Arabidopsis thaliana: one gene and its partner. The protein of the gene in region 1 interacts with the protein of each later gene in a pairwise test. Each region holds a gene or a part of one and is shown on either strand. Other genes may lie near its edges.

The links.
Region 2: the proteins of AT4G23740 (region 1) and MLO2 interact in a protein complementation assay, tested with the Arabidopsis thaliana proteins (one large-scale study listed by BioGRID).

The regions. Positions count from the first base shown.
Region 1 is NC_003075.7:12,364,204-12,369,885, forward strand, and holds AT4G23740 (Leucine-rich repeat protein kinase family protein), read left to right. Parts: upstream 1-1,878; 5' UTR 1,879-2,429; intron 2,430-2,647; exon of another isoform or gene 2,648-2,812; 5' UTR 2,813-2,859; coding exon 2,860-4,126; intron 4,127-4,224; coding exon 4,225-4,575; intron 4,576-4,657; coding exon 4,658-4,956; 3' UTR 4,957-5,135; downstream 5,136-5,682. Other genes in the region: AT4G23730 (Galactose mutarotase-like superfamily protein), read left to right, coding at 1-39, 132-334, 402-589.
Region 2 is NC_003070.9:3,799,999-3,806,270, forward strand, and holds MLO2 (Seven transmembrane MLO family protein), read right to left. Parts: upstream 4,236-6,272; 5' UTR 3,873-4,235; coding exon 3,750-3,872; intron 3,698-3,749; exon of another isoform or gene 3,562-3,697; coding exon 3,504-3,561; intron 3,389-3,503; coding exon 3,123-3,388; intron 3,030-3,122; coding exon 2,913-3,029; intron 2,820-2,912; coding exon 2,759-2,819; intron 2,689-2,758; coding exon 2,525-2,688; intron 2,442-2,524; coding exon 2,347-2,441; intron 2,261-2,346; coding exon 2,211-2,260; intron 2,125-2,210; coding exon 2,084-2,124; intron 2,005-2,083; coding exon 1,831-2,004; intron 1,741-1,830; coding exon 1,705-1,740; intron 1,620-1,704; coding exon 1,552-1,619; coding exon of another isoform or gene 1,548-1,551; exon of another isoform or gene 1,463-1,547; coding exon 1,402-1,462; intron 1,309-1,401; coding exon 901-1,308; 3' UTR 722-900; downstream 1-721. Other genes in the region: AT1G11303 (G-type lectin S-receptor-like Serine/Threonine-kinase), read left to right, coding at 1-119, 204-333, 413-721.

The sequences.
Region 1 (5,682 bases):
CATTGCTTACCACACTTACTTCTCCATTTCCGATATTAGGTGAAACACCGAATTTAGCCTCTACTAGTCTCTGCTGTCACATAATATAACGTAGAACTCAATACATTCTCTTTTCTTTTGGTATTTATCAGTGAAGTTAGACTTGAAGGGCTGGAAACTCTTGACTATCTTGATAATATGCATGATAGAGAGCGGTTCACAGAGCAAGGCGATGCATTAACCTTTGAATCAGAGATCGATAGAGTGTACCTAAATTCTAAAGACGTGGTTGCCATTTTCGACCATGAGAGAAAACGCACATTCCTCATCAAGAAAGAAGGTCTACCTGATGTCGGTAAGATCCAAATACCGAAAACCTTAACCGCCCTTTTTACCAAGAATCCAGTTTTTAACAGTATTAGATTCTCGGTTTGTTGCAGTGGTATGGAATCCATGGGAGAAGAAAGCGAGAGCATTGACGGATTTGGGAGATGATGAGTATAGACACATGTTGTGTGTGGATGGAGCAGCCATTGAGAAACCCATCACCTTGAAACCGGGTGAAGAATGGACCGGGAAATTACATCTCTCGCTTGTTCTTTCCACCTAAAACCCGGTACCGGTTATCACAAACTCTGTGTCTTTCATTATCTTGTCTTGTGGGCTATTTTTTTTGTTTTAGTCTATAGAACATCACAGTGTGTGTGATTCGTCGGTATCAAAAATCCGAAATATTAAAAGGAAACCTGAGATTTGAAAAGGTCACCCATTTTTAGGAAGTGACTAGATCTCCTGGTTTTGTGCGAGATTTAACTTGTGTATGAAGACAATGTTATATACTATATTGAAGTTTGTACTTATTTGATGAAATCTTCAATAATACTAGATTTTAACCCGCGGTATATCGCGGGGACAATTTATTTTTTTAAGTTAGTATATATAAAAGTTTACAAATTATATCTATCTATAAAATATTTTTATTTTATAGTTTACAATTGTTATTAAGTAACGTCCTATCAAATCCGTCCCGCCAACCTGTCCCGTAAAAAAAACTCATTGATCTCATTTATGATATGTTTATGAATCATTGTTTAAATATTTTGTAATTTTGTAGTAATTAAATGCTATCAAATATTTGTGCGGTTTGATGATTATAATCGAATTGTTATAGTCATGTAGAAAAACAATATCAAAAATAATAATTTTGTAGTAATTCAATGATATTAAATATATTGGAAGTTTTATTTTAGTAACTAATCGTGTAGTTAATGTAGAGAGATTTCGGGAAGATTTTCAAATATTTAATTCAAAAATTTTATTTTTAATTATCAAAACAAACATTAAAATCCAGTGGCAGCTATTGTAAATAAATCTCAACTACAAAATTTATTTCACAAAATGGCTGCAAAAATGTATATGTAGATTTAAAGCTTTCTTGTTCTCATGGTTGACAATTCTTGAATAAACCATTTCTGAGACCATAAGCTAATTTTTTTGGGTACATATTTCAAGTATAGGAACAAAACTATAGTATAAAATAATCTTTATAGATTCAAATGCTTTAATGGCCTTATACTCATTGCCTCTCAATGTGGTAAGATGGTGTAAAATCATCATAATAATCATGAAAGATTTGAAAATTATTGGTCTATTATGATGCACTATAAATTCTATAATTGCGTCGGTCAAATATTTAATACACCGAAGAAATAGTAATATTATAAAAAGAGAATATTTATTGATGCCAAAAAGAAACCAAGAATTTTATTAAAATGGTAGAAGTCGATATGCTTTAAATGCCTTGAGCTTCATTATGACAAGTACTACAAAACAAAAAAAAACGTATTTGCCTAATACATTTGGTAAGTTAAATAATTTCCTTCTTAACATAATTAATTACTATATCGTTCTTTTTGTTAGCGTTGACCAATTAAACAACCGGTTATGTATATCTCGGTTCAGAAAACTTAACCGGTTTAACAAATAGCTAATGTTCCGATTAATTTACATTACTTCAGAACGAATCGAACTTTGTAAAACGAAGATCGATTACAAATTGAAAGATACAGCCTTAATTTGGCATTAAAAAGTTCAATGGTCCCCGGTTCGGTATTAAATAACCGGGTACGTACAGACTCACCGGTCACCAACCTGTAAACCGTATAAAGAAACAATAGAGTCGCATCAGTATCTTCCCTCGTCACTTTCACCCACTTTAATATGCCAAAAAATAAGAACAAAATTATATCCGTTGCTTGAAAATCACAAGCTCTTCTTAACTTCACAAGTGCTTCAATGGCGGTTCTTCACATTATCTTCACTGCGTAATTGAAGAAGTTGTTCTCTCTTCCTCTTAATTTCGAGTTGTGTTCTTAAAAAACTCCAGAGCTGATTCGATTCTCGAGAAGAAACTAAGCCGACAATAAAGTTCAGATCTGGAAAAAAGCGAGGTTACCAATTCTTTATTTTTAATAAATTTAATCTCGTAGTAGAGTTAGGGTTCTACTTTTCGACAATTTTAATTACCAGAAATTCTAGGGTTTATGTGAGTTTAAATTAAAGCTTCGTCATTTTCGAAGCTTAAAGTTACTCACTTTTTATGTCTCCCACTCCTGTTGTATTTTAAAATCTCCAGTGGTCACATAGAACAACTTCAAGATTCCACTTTTGCTTTTATAATCAGCAGTCTTCTAGAAATCTGTAATCTTTTCGCTTTTTTGGTACCTTTTATTTTAAATTAAAGTTCACAAATTTTCACCATTTATATGTCCATCATCATCATCACCACAATCAAATTGAGCTAAATTGGTTTTTGATTGTTGTTTTTCTCCAGCTCCAGATTACAAAAAGAAACAGCTCGTTTTTTTCACTTTCAAAAAAATGGAAGCTTTGAGGATTTATCTATGGAGTCTCTGTCTCTCTCTGTGTTTGATTATCTATGGAGCAAACTCAGATCCATTAGAAGACAAACGCGCATTGCTTGAGTTTCTTACCATTATGCAACCAACTCGTTCACTCAACTGGAACGAGACTTCTCAAGTCTGCAACATCTGGACCGGAGTTACTTGTAATCAAGACGGATCTCGAATCATAGCCGTTAGATTACCAGGCGTTGGACTCAATGGTCAGATTCCTCCAAACACTATAAGCAGACTCTCAGCTCTCAGAGTTCTTAGTCTCAGATCCAATCTAATCTCCGGCGAGTTTCCTAAGGATTTTGTTGAGTTGAAAGATTTGGCCTTTCTTTATCTTCAGGATAACAACTTGTCTGGTCCTTTGCCATTGGATTTCTCTGTTTGGAAGAATCTCACTAGTGTTAATCTCTCAAACAACGGGTTCAACGGGACAATCCCGAGTTCGTTGTCTCGTCTTAAGCGGATTCAGTCGTTAAATCTTGCTAACAATACGCTTTCTGGTGATATTCCTGATCTGAGTGTGCTCTCTAGTCTGCAGCACATTGACTTGTCCAACAATTATGATCTTGCTGGACCGATACCAGATTGGCTTCGAAGGTTCCCGTTCTCGTCTTATACAGGCATTGATATTATTCCTCCTGGTGGTAACTACACCCTCGTTACGCCGCCACCACCTAGCGAGCAGACTCATCAGAAACCGTCGAAAGCTCGCTTCTTGGGACTATCCGAGACGGTGTTCTTGTTGATTGTTATTGCTGTTTCCATTGTGGTGATTACGGCTTTGGCGTTTGTGTTGACTGTTTGTTACGTAAGAAGGAAGTTAAGACGCGGTGATGGGGTCATTTCGGATAATAAGTTGCAGAAGAAAGGTGGGATGTCTCCTGAGAAATTTGTTTCTCGGATGGAAGATGTGAACAACCGGTTATCGTTCTTTGAAGGATGTAACTACTCTTTTGATCTTGAGGATCTATTGAGAGCTTCTGCTGAGGTTCTTGGTAAAGGCACGTTTGGCACGACGTACAAAGCAGTTCTTGAAGATGCAACTTCTGTTGCTGTGAAACGTCTTAAGGATGTTGCGGCTGGGAAACGTGATTTCGAGCAGCAGATGGAGATCATTGGAGGTATTAAGCATGAAAACGTTGTGGAGCTTAAGGCATACTATTACTCTAAAGACGAGAAGCTAATGGTTTATGACTATTTCAGCCGAGGAAGTGTGGCTTCTTTGCTTCATGGTACGTTTCACTTTTTGATCTAATGCATCATAACTACTATCAGAATCAAACCCATTTGCTTTAGGCTCATTGTAGAGTTGAAATGTTTTGGTTTTCAGGTAACAGAGGAGAAAACAGGATTCCTCTAGACTGGGAAACAAGAATGAAAATAGCTATTGGCGCAGCTAAAGGGATTGCTCGTATCCACAAAGAAAACAATGGAAAACTCGTCCATGGGAACATCAAATCTTCGAATATATTCTTGAATTCCGAGAGTAATGGCTGTGTCTCTGATCTTGGATTAACTGCTGTAATGAGTCCCTTGGCTCCACCGATATCGAGGCAAGCTGGTTACCGTGCACCAGAAGTAACCGACACAAGGAAGTCTTCTCAATTGTCAGATGTTTACAGCTTCGGTGTTGTTCTACTCGAACTACTCACGGGAAAATCGCCCATTCACACTACCGCAGGTAACGCTACAACCCGAAGTGACTAGACTGTTTCAGCTGATATATTTTCGGTTTAATGATCATTCTGTGATGGACATTGCAGGGGACGAGATCATCCACTTGGTTAGATGGGTACATTCAGTAGTGAGAGAGGAATGGACCGCAGAAGTATTCGACATCGAGCTTCTGAGGTATACAAACATAGAGGAAGAGATGGTTGAGATGTTGCAGATTGCAATGTCCTGTGTTGTGAAAGCAGCAGATCAGAGGCCAAAGATGTCTGATTTGGTTAGGCTCATCGAGAACGTTGGAAACCGACGAACCAGCATTGAACCGGAACCCGAACTCAAACCCAAATCCGAAAATGGAGCCTCAGAGACTTCAACACCGAGTGAAATTTGAATCTATCAAAATTCTAACTGTTGATTCATCATCCCATATTTTACATATGAAGTTTGTATACTCCTGTGTTTATTTCTTCTCTCTTCGGTTTAGAACCGGTTCAACAAACACATTTCTGTTTAGGAATTCTTGGTTTTCAAAATTCGCTATGAAATAGATTCAAATTTCTGATTCACAAGTTTGTTTCATCAAAGCCTCTAAACCAGGGAAACCAACTGCTTCAGAGCCCAAAAAGCCCATTGGGCCGATATAATTATACAGAGTCGACAAAGTTTTATTTCTAGTACTTGTTTGACCCATAATCTTCTTCGGCTAGAGCCCGGCCTGTGATCGAACCGACAAAATGGAACTAGTGGTCTCAAGTAATGCGATATTTGGAGGGTTCTAACTTCTAAGAAGCACCACAAGCCAGCCTAAGACCCACATGGTATCCTCAGGATCATATTTGAATGGAGTTTGGACTAATAATTTATGTTTTTCATATTATCTATTTTACTGAAATACTAACATTTTCTGAGTCAAAAGAAAAGAGTTCATACAAAATGTTTTGTCGTGAATTGTGTTTTGGAGCCTTGGAGGAGGAACAGGTAGGTGGCAGGGATTACAATAGGAAGGAGACAAATAAGGCAAGTTACAACGTGAACTTGATTTGTCTAATTCCAGAAAATGACGTGTCCTTGCTGCTCATATACTGCAATAAGGCTTCTCTTCTTCTTTCCAAGTTGC
Region 2 (6,272 bases), on another chromosome or scaffold:
AAAGCAAGCAACATCTTGCTAGATGAGAATCTGATTCCGAAAATATCTGATTTTGGGTTGGCCAGGATATTCCCGGGGAATGAAGATGAAGCAAACACCAGAAGGGTCGTTGGAACATAGTATGTAACTCCATTCAACCATATGTTTACATCTTTTTTTTCCATTAAGAGTCCTAAAACCGAGAAAATAAATGTATCGTGCAGTGGCTATATGGCACCTGAATATGCAATGGGAGGACTGTTTTCAGAGAAATCTGATGTTTTCAGCTTAGGAGTGATACTCTTAGAGATTATCAGTGGAAGAAGAAACTCACATTCAACTCTTTTGGCTCATGTGAGTCTACTTTAACTCGTAAAGTTTCTTAACTCTCTTGAGATTGTCATCAAGCCATCAAAGCTTCTATGTTTCATAGGTGTGGTCAATCTGGAACGAAGGGGAGATTAATGGTATGGTAGATCCTGAGATTTTTGACCAACTTTTTGAGAAAGAAATACGAAAATGCGTTCACATTGCGCTTTTGTGTGTGCAAGACGCTGCTAATGATAGGCCAAGTGTTTCTACAGTGTGTATGATGCTTAGCAGTGAGGTTGCAGACATTCCAGAACCGAAACAGCCTGCTTTTATGCCTAGAAACGTTGGTTTAGAAGCTGAGTTCTCTGAGAGCATTGCTCTTAAAGCCTCTATCAACAATGTCACCATCACTGATGTCTCAGGACGTTAAAACCTGCAGAAATACAAATGTATGTGTAATTCGTGAAACTCTTAAGCATTGCCAGAGAATAACATATCATGTATCCATATAGATATGGTTATTTCTTATCCAACTAGTAATGTACAAGAAATTATTTTCATATGACAAATTTCCCACTGTACGAAATCAAATATAGCAAACAAGAATCATCATTTCTTAAAAGAAAAATCTCTTAAGCTTTTGCTAGTCCTTATAGGAGGAAGTTCCACAGATGCAAGAACAGGTTCTGAGCTTTCATGCGCAAGAGAATGATGTGTGGAAGTTTCAGCTTCTTGGTGTTGAGACTCAGGATCCCAAAATTGGTGTTCATGATGACCATGACCAGAGTATCTAGGAGAAGGAGAACTTGGGTAATTTTCAACGCTCCGGTTATTGAAATTGTGAAGGAGATGGATTGGAGATGAGCCATGTGTTGGTGTGGTTGGACGGCTAGAGAAAGGTGTGTTGGATCCCGAGTGTCTTCCGTGTTTCGTCTCGTTCTTTGCAGTGTGATGCCACTTCTTTAATGCCGTGGCTACTCTATCGTTGAATACTGTTGGCTTCATTTTACTACCCATCTGCACACAATTTTCATTCAACACAATGTAAAAAAAACTAAAGATCATATAACCAAAATCTGGCATCCATGTAACACTAATGTTTTCTAGTACCTGAGTAACAAGTGCATAGAGTGGAAGAGTCACATAGCTGCAAAGTATCTGCACAACAGCTCTGCAAGATTTATAAAAAGGGGGATTATACTTTTTCAGTTAAAGGACAAATTCTCAGAAGAATCAATAGTCAAGATAATGTTAGCTTACCCAACTACAAGTCTAATGACCACATCTGCAGTGCTTTCATGGAAACAATTATTGAGATTGAATTCATACTGCAAATACAGAAAATTTATGACATAACAATTAGTATAGCCCGTAACAGCGATGTTTTCAAAGAAAATGAAATGGCTCGCTTACCGTACTCCAGGCAAAGAATGCAAGTTGAAATGCATTCTGCAAAGATAAGAAAATTTATTCTACCGTTAGGAGAAAAAACCCGAAAAAGATCGAAAAAACGAGCGGTGAAGGATACAAGTATTGTACCGTAAAAAGGACCAAGTGAATAAGGAAAAGAATGAAGCGTGGCTTGCCAAACCAGAAGAGGTCATCACCAGGCTGAACCACTGGGGCGCCTCTCACCACATCACCTTTCTCTTGGATTCTTAGACCCAATTTTGTTATTATGACTTCAAGCTTTGTTCCAACTATTAGAATTACCTGCAGTTATATATTTTCACTCTGTTACAAAACTGGCGGCAAAAAGACAAAATCGGTTCAAGAGTTTGTTTGTACTTACGACTAGTGGAATGAATGGTAACCAGAGGTAAGAACGTAATCCTGTTTCAAAAGAAAACCGATGTCACTTTTGTGCGACTATTGATGCAGCTAAAATGTAGTTTTTGCGAGTAAGCAATGAACGTTACCATATGAATTGGTCAAGAGGAATAGCACAGCGACAAACCAGATAACCGGACTGCATAAAGTTGGCAGAGATTTAAGATAAAATATCCAAATTGGCTTTGCTCAGACTTTATAAAGCAATCATTATTAGATCCAAACCTGATTTCAACAACGGTTTTGAAGTCTTTCTCTAATGATCTCTGAATATACTTGCGGAAATCGAATCTTGATTCGTTACCGGGAGCAAAATGCGCCTGAAATATGTAGAATGTTAGATCATTGTCTTTGAGAGATACATGTTATAATGAACAATAGATAAAAAGAATAAATTCCATACCATGATGAAACCATGTCTTAGTGCTAAGTAATCAACTTTGGTGACAGATCCAAAGAACTGTCTAAAAAAACAAACAATCCATAGTGTGACTCTCGTCTTGCTCCAGAAATTGAGATGTCTTCTCCCAAAAGATGTGTCCCTCGCAAACCTGAACCTCTCAGGATCTGCATAACAAGACTAATTCATTCCCATTCAGGTCTTTAAGTTTCGTCGAATACTCACATATTTACATACCGTTGGAATACTGATACTCTATTGTCTTTGTCTCTTCCTCCCACGACTTCCACGTCCTCATCTGCAATACTCAAGAAAACAAGTATAAAAATCTTTTGCATACACTCTTTTTCTCGCCTTAACAACTGCGTAAGTCACAAGAAATGTTAGTTACCTTGATCTTTCCGAAAGCATAAGTAACAATGCAGTAAACAACATGAACAACCGCGAGCACGAAGATGAATATATGCAGCTGGTGGATTCCATAAGCAGATACAAAAGCCACTTTCCCCTGAGTAAATCCATCAATAGAAATCAAAATTCCATCGGTTTAACAAGCAGAGAATGATTTTTATATAGAGAGAGAAGGGAGATTATTAGTTACCTTCTCTGCACATTTGTCATAGCCTTTGGTGGCTAAACTTCTTCTATGGATATAAGATTCAGCTAACTCAAGAAGAAGTCTTCGACCGGGTTTATCTCCATCTCCATCATCTTTCTTTCCGGCGTCTTTCTTGCCGTATTTTTTAGCTTCTTCAGCAGCACTGCAAGGGTGCATTGTTGACGCAACTTTCTGGGAGATGCAGATATTTGAGATTGGTGTTTGTCCAATTGTGAGTAGTAGTGATATGAATCCCAACAGCATAAGCTCTGAATGAAGTTACGTAGAAAACAAAATCAGGAGCTTGTTAATGGATGAAGTTAAGTAGAAAAAGATAAGAAGCTTGTTGATAATGGATCAAGTTAAGTAGAAAAAGATAGTTACCTGCTTTGACCTTTTCAAGAGCTTCAAAAAGAGCCTGCTTGTGCTTCTTTTTAAACCACTGTTTAAGGCACAAAAAAAGGAATGATCAGATATTTTCGTTATTCTCACAGATTTAGTAGTGTTGATAGTGATAGGAGAAGAACTAAACAAATCCAAAAAAACAGAGCAGTAATTAAAGAAACAGAGCAGAAAGCAGAGCAAGAAACAGGGGAATCTTGAAATAAGGAGAAATATAAAGAGACTTACGGTTCCAATTTTGTGAATAGAATGTTCGAGGACAATCGAAATAAAGAGTAAGACAAAGCAAACAACAGCAACTGCCCACGTAGAGGTCTCCTCTAAAGTCCGCTCTTTTACTTGATCTGCCATTAGAGCTTAATCCTAAGAAAAAACCCCAAATAAGATTCTTCTAATTCCAGACCAGAGATCTTGTCTTTTTATATATAAATATAGAAACACACGAAGAGAAAGAGAGACACAGTCAGAGTTTCGTGTTCTTCTTTTGATCTAACTTCTCTCTATATTGAATTAGTACGCTACGCAATTTTGAATCTGGTCATAATATAGAGCAGACGAAAGAGGGAAGAAGAAGAAGAAGATAAGACCCGCAACGAGAGACTGTAAACTAAAGAAGGCGTTATTCGAGAAAGCTTCAACGTTTTGACTTTTCTTGTTGTTCCTCTCATGTGACGAGTGACGACGACTCCTCAATTATCAGCATAACCATTATTCTTTTTGGTCTACTTTATTTTGCTTTTTATTGGGTCAATCATCGGTGTTTTGTTTCTATTTTAAATCTATAACATTTTGGTTTCAGCTCGTTAGATTTTCAGAATAAAATAAAGCAAATTTTGAATTTTTTGATTCATTAGTCGTTTATTTTTGTTGGTATAATACTCCCATTTTGTGTACTTTGGAAGCCACTAGAGATTGTATAAGTATAAATAAGAATAACATTACTATAATGGGATCTTTCGTTGGAAAGTTCGTCATTTTGTTTTGTCTATTCCCAACTTGTTTGTTATATCTAAATAATATGCTCGTAGATACCAAGATTCAAGATATAACCATGCTCCTTTTTTTAATTTAAATTTTTACCAAAATGTAAATTTTCTATATATAAAAAAAGATATATTAATTGCTACTTGAAATTTATACAAGAAATTTCACCCATAATTGCTACTTGAAATTTGAAAATGATATTTTCCACCACCACCAATGACTGATTAAAAAATAAACTGATTTCTAACACACCTTACCACCCAAAACCTAATAAAAACTTTAAACTGTACCTCTATTTCTAACACACCCAATTAAAAGTGACTGATAAGTTGTCAAAACATTATTTTGAAAGATACATTGATGATGTGATTGTTTTTTTCTACAAAAATTTCAGTTTCGAAGTTTACCCATTAACGTGTTTTTTTTTTTTTGTTTTTTTTTTCTTGTTAATATCCTATATTTTATTAAATTTTCTTACTATCAACTGTACAAAAGTTTTATCATCCATTATACTATCTATAATGGAATTGTAATTTTATTACACTTAGATGTAACTAGAATTGTAAATATATTATTGTAGCAAACATTTGACTATTAAATTAATTACGTAACCTGGTTTTTATTTTGCCTTTTAATGAAATTATAAAAATTGTATAGTTTGAAAAATATGATACTATGACTATTTCTTATATCTTAAAATATTATTGTCAGATAAAAGAGTTTGGGATTTTTTGATAAGTTGTACTCTACAAAATATTCGAAAACAGCCTGTACAGTTGAACAGAGGCATGCAGCAATGATTAATAATTAATAGTTAGATAATTAGAATGTTAAGTGGAAAATTGTTGTATTTAGCTGACTTTCCAGTTTCCAATAGCCATCGCCCATCGAATGTTTATTTAATCAACATTCTTTAAAATAATGAGAGTGTTTTGCTTACTTGGCACGTGATTAAAGACTACTGACAGAAAAAAACAAGATTAAACATCTAACAGAAATAACATCTTTAAACTATGATTGCAAGTAGATATATATATATATATATATATATATATATATCAGAATAGTTGAAGAAATTACTGAAGAATCAATCAATATACACAAACAAAATTATAGTTTTTCTCCTTCGACAATATACGTTTAGAATTTAAACTAAACGAGATCCATATATACATTTTTTTTAATTTATATTTACTTTGATTGCATATGAGATTGATTGTACATGTACATATATGTTTATGATTATTAGTTAAAACTGATCGTGCATGTACATATATAAACTATGGAGAGTGGATTATAAGATTGTAAAAACTCAAATCTTTCTCTATAATATTTAACACGTGTTCATATTTATGACTGACACAATTGGACACAACTTAAGTTCAAAGAGTCAACAAATAACAATGCATGCTGAGGCATACATATATGTAAAAAAAAAAAAAATCGCAAAAAAAACAGATATGTAAATTATACATTATTGTTAATTGACAAACCAAGTTGCAAACTGCAACTAATCACATAGAGTTTAAAAATGTGATAATTAACGGAACGCTTAAGATGGACATGTAATTATATATTAATGAACTGAATCAAACAAAAACTAAAAACATTTATTGCTTATGTGGTTGATGAGATATTTGTTTTAAGCAACATGATCAAATGAGAATGTGAAGACGTGTTAGTCACATATGAATATGATTTATAAAAGAATCTAAGACGACATAAATGACTAGATGGTGGAAATAATGTGAGGCATCTTAATTTCCT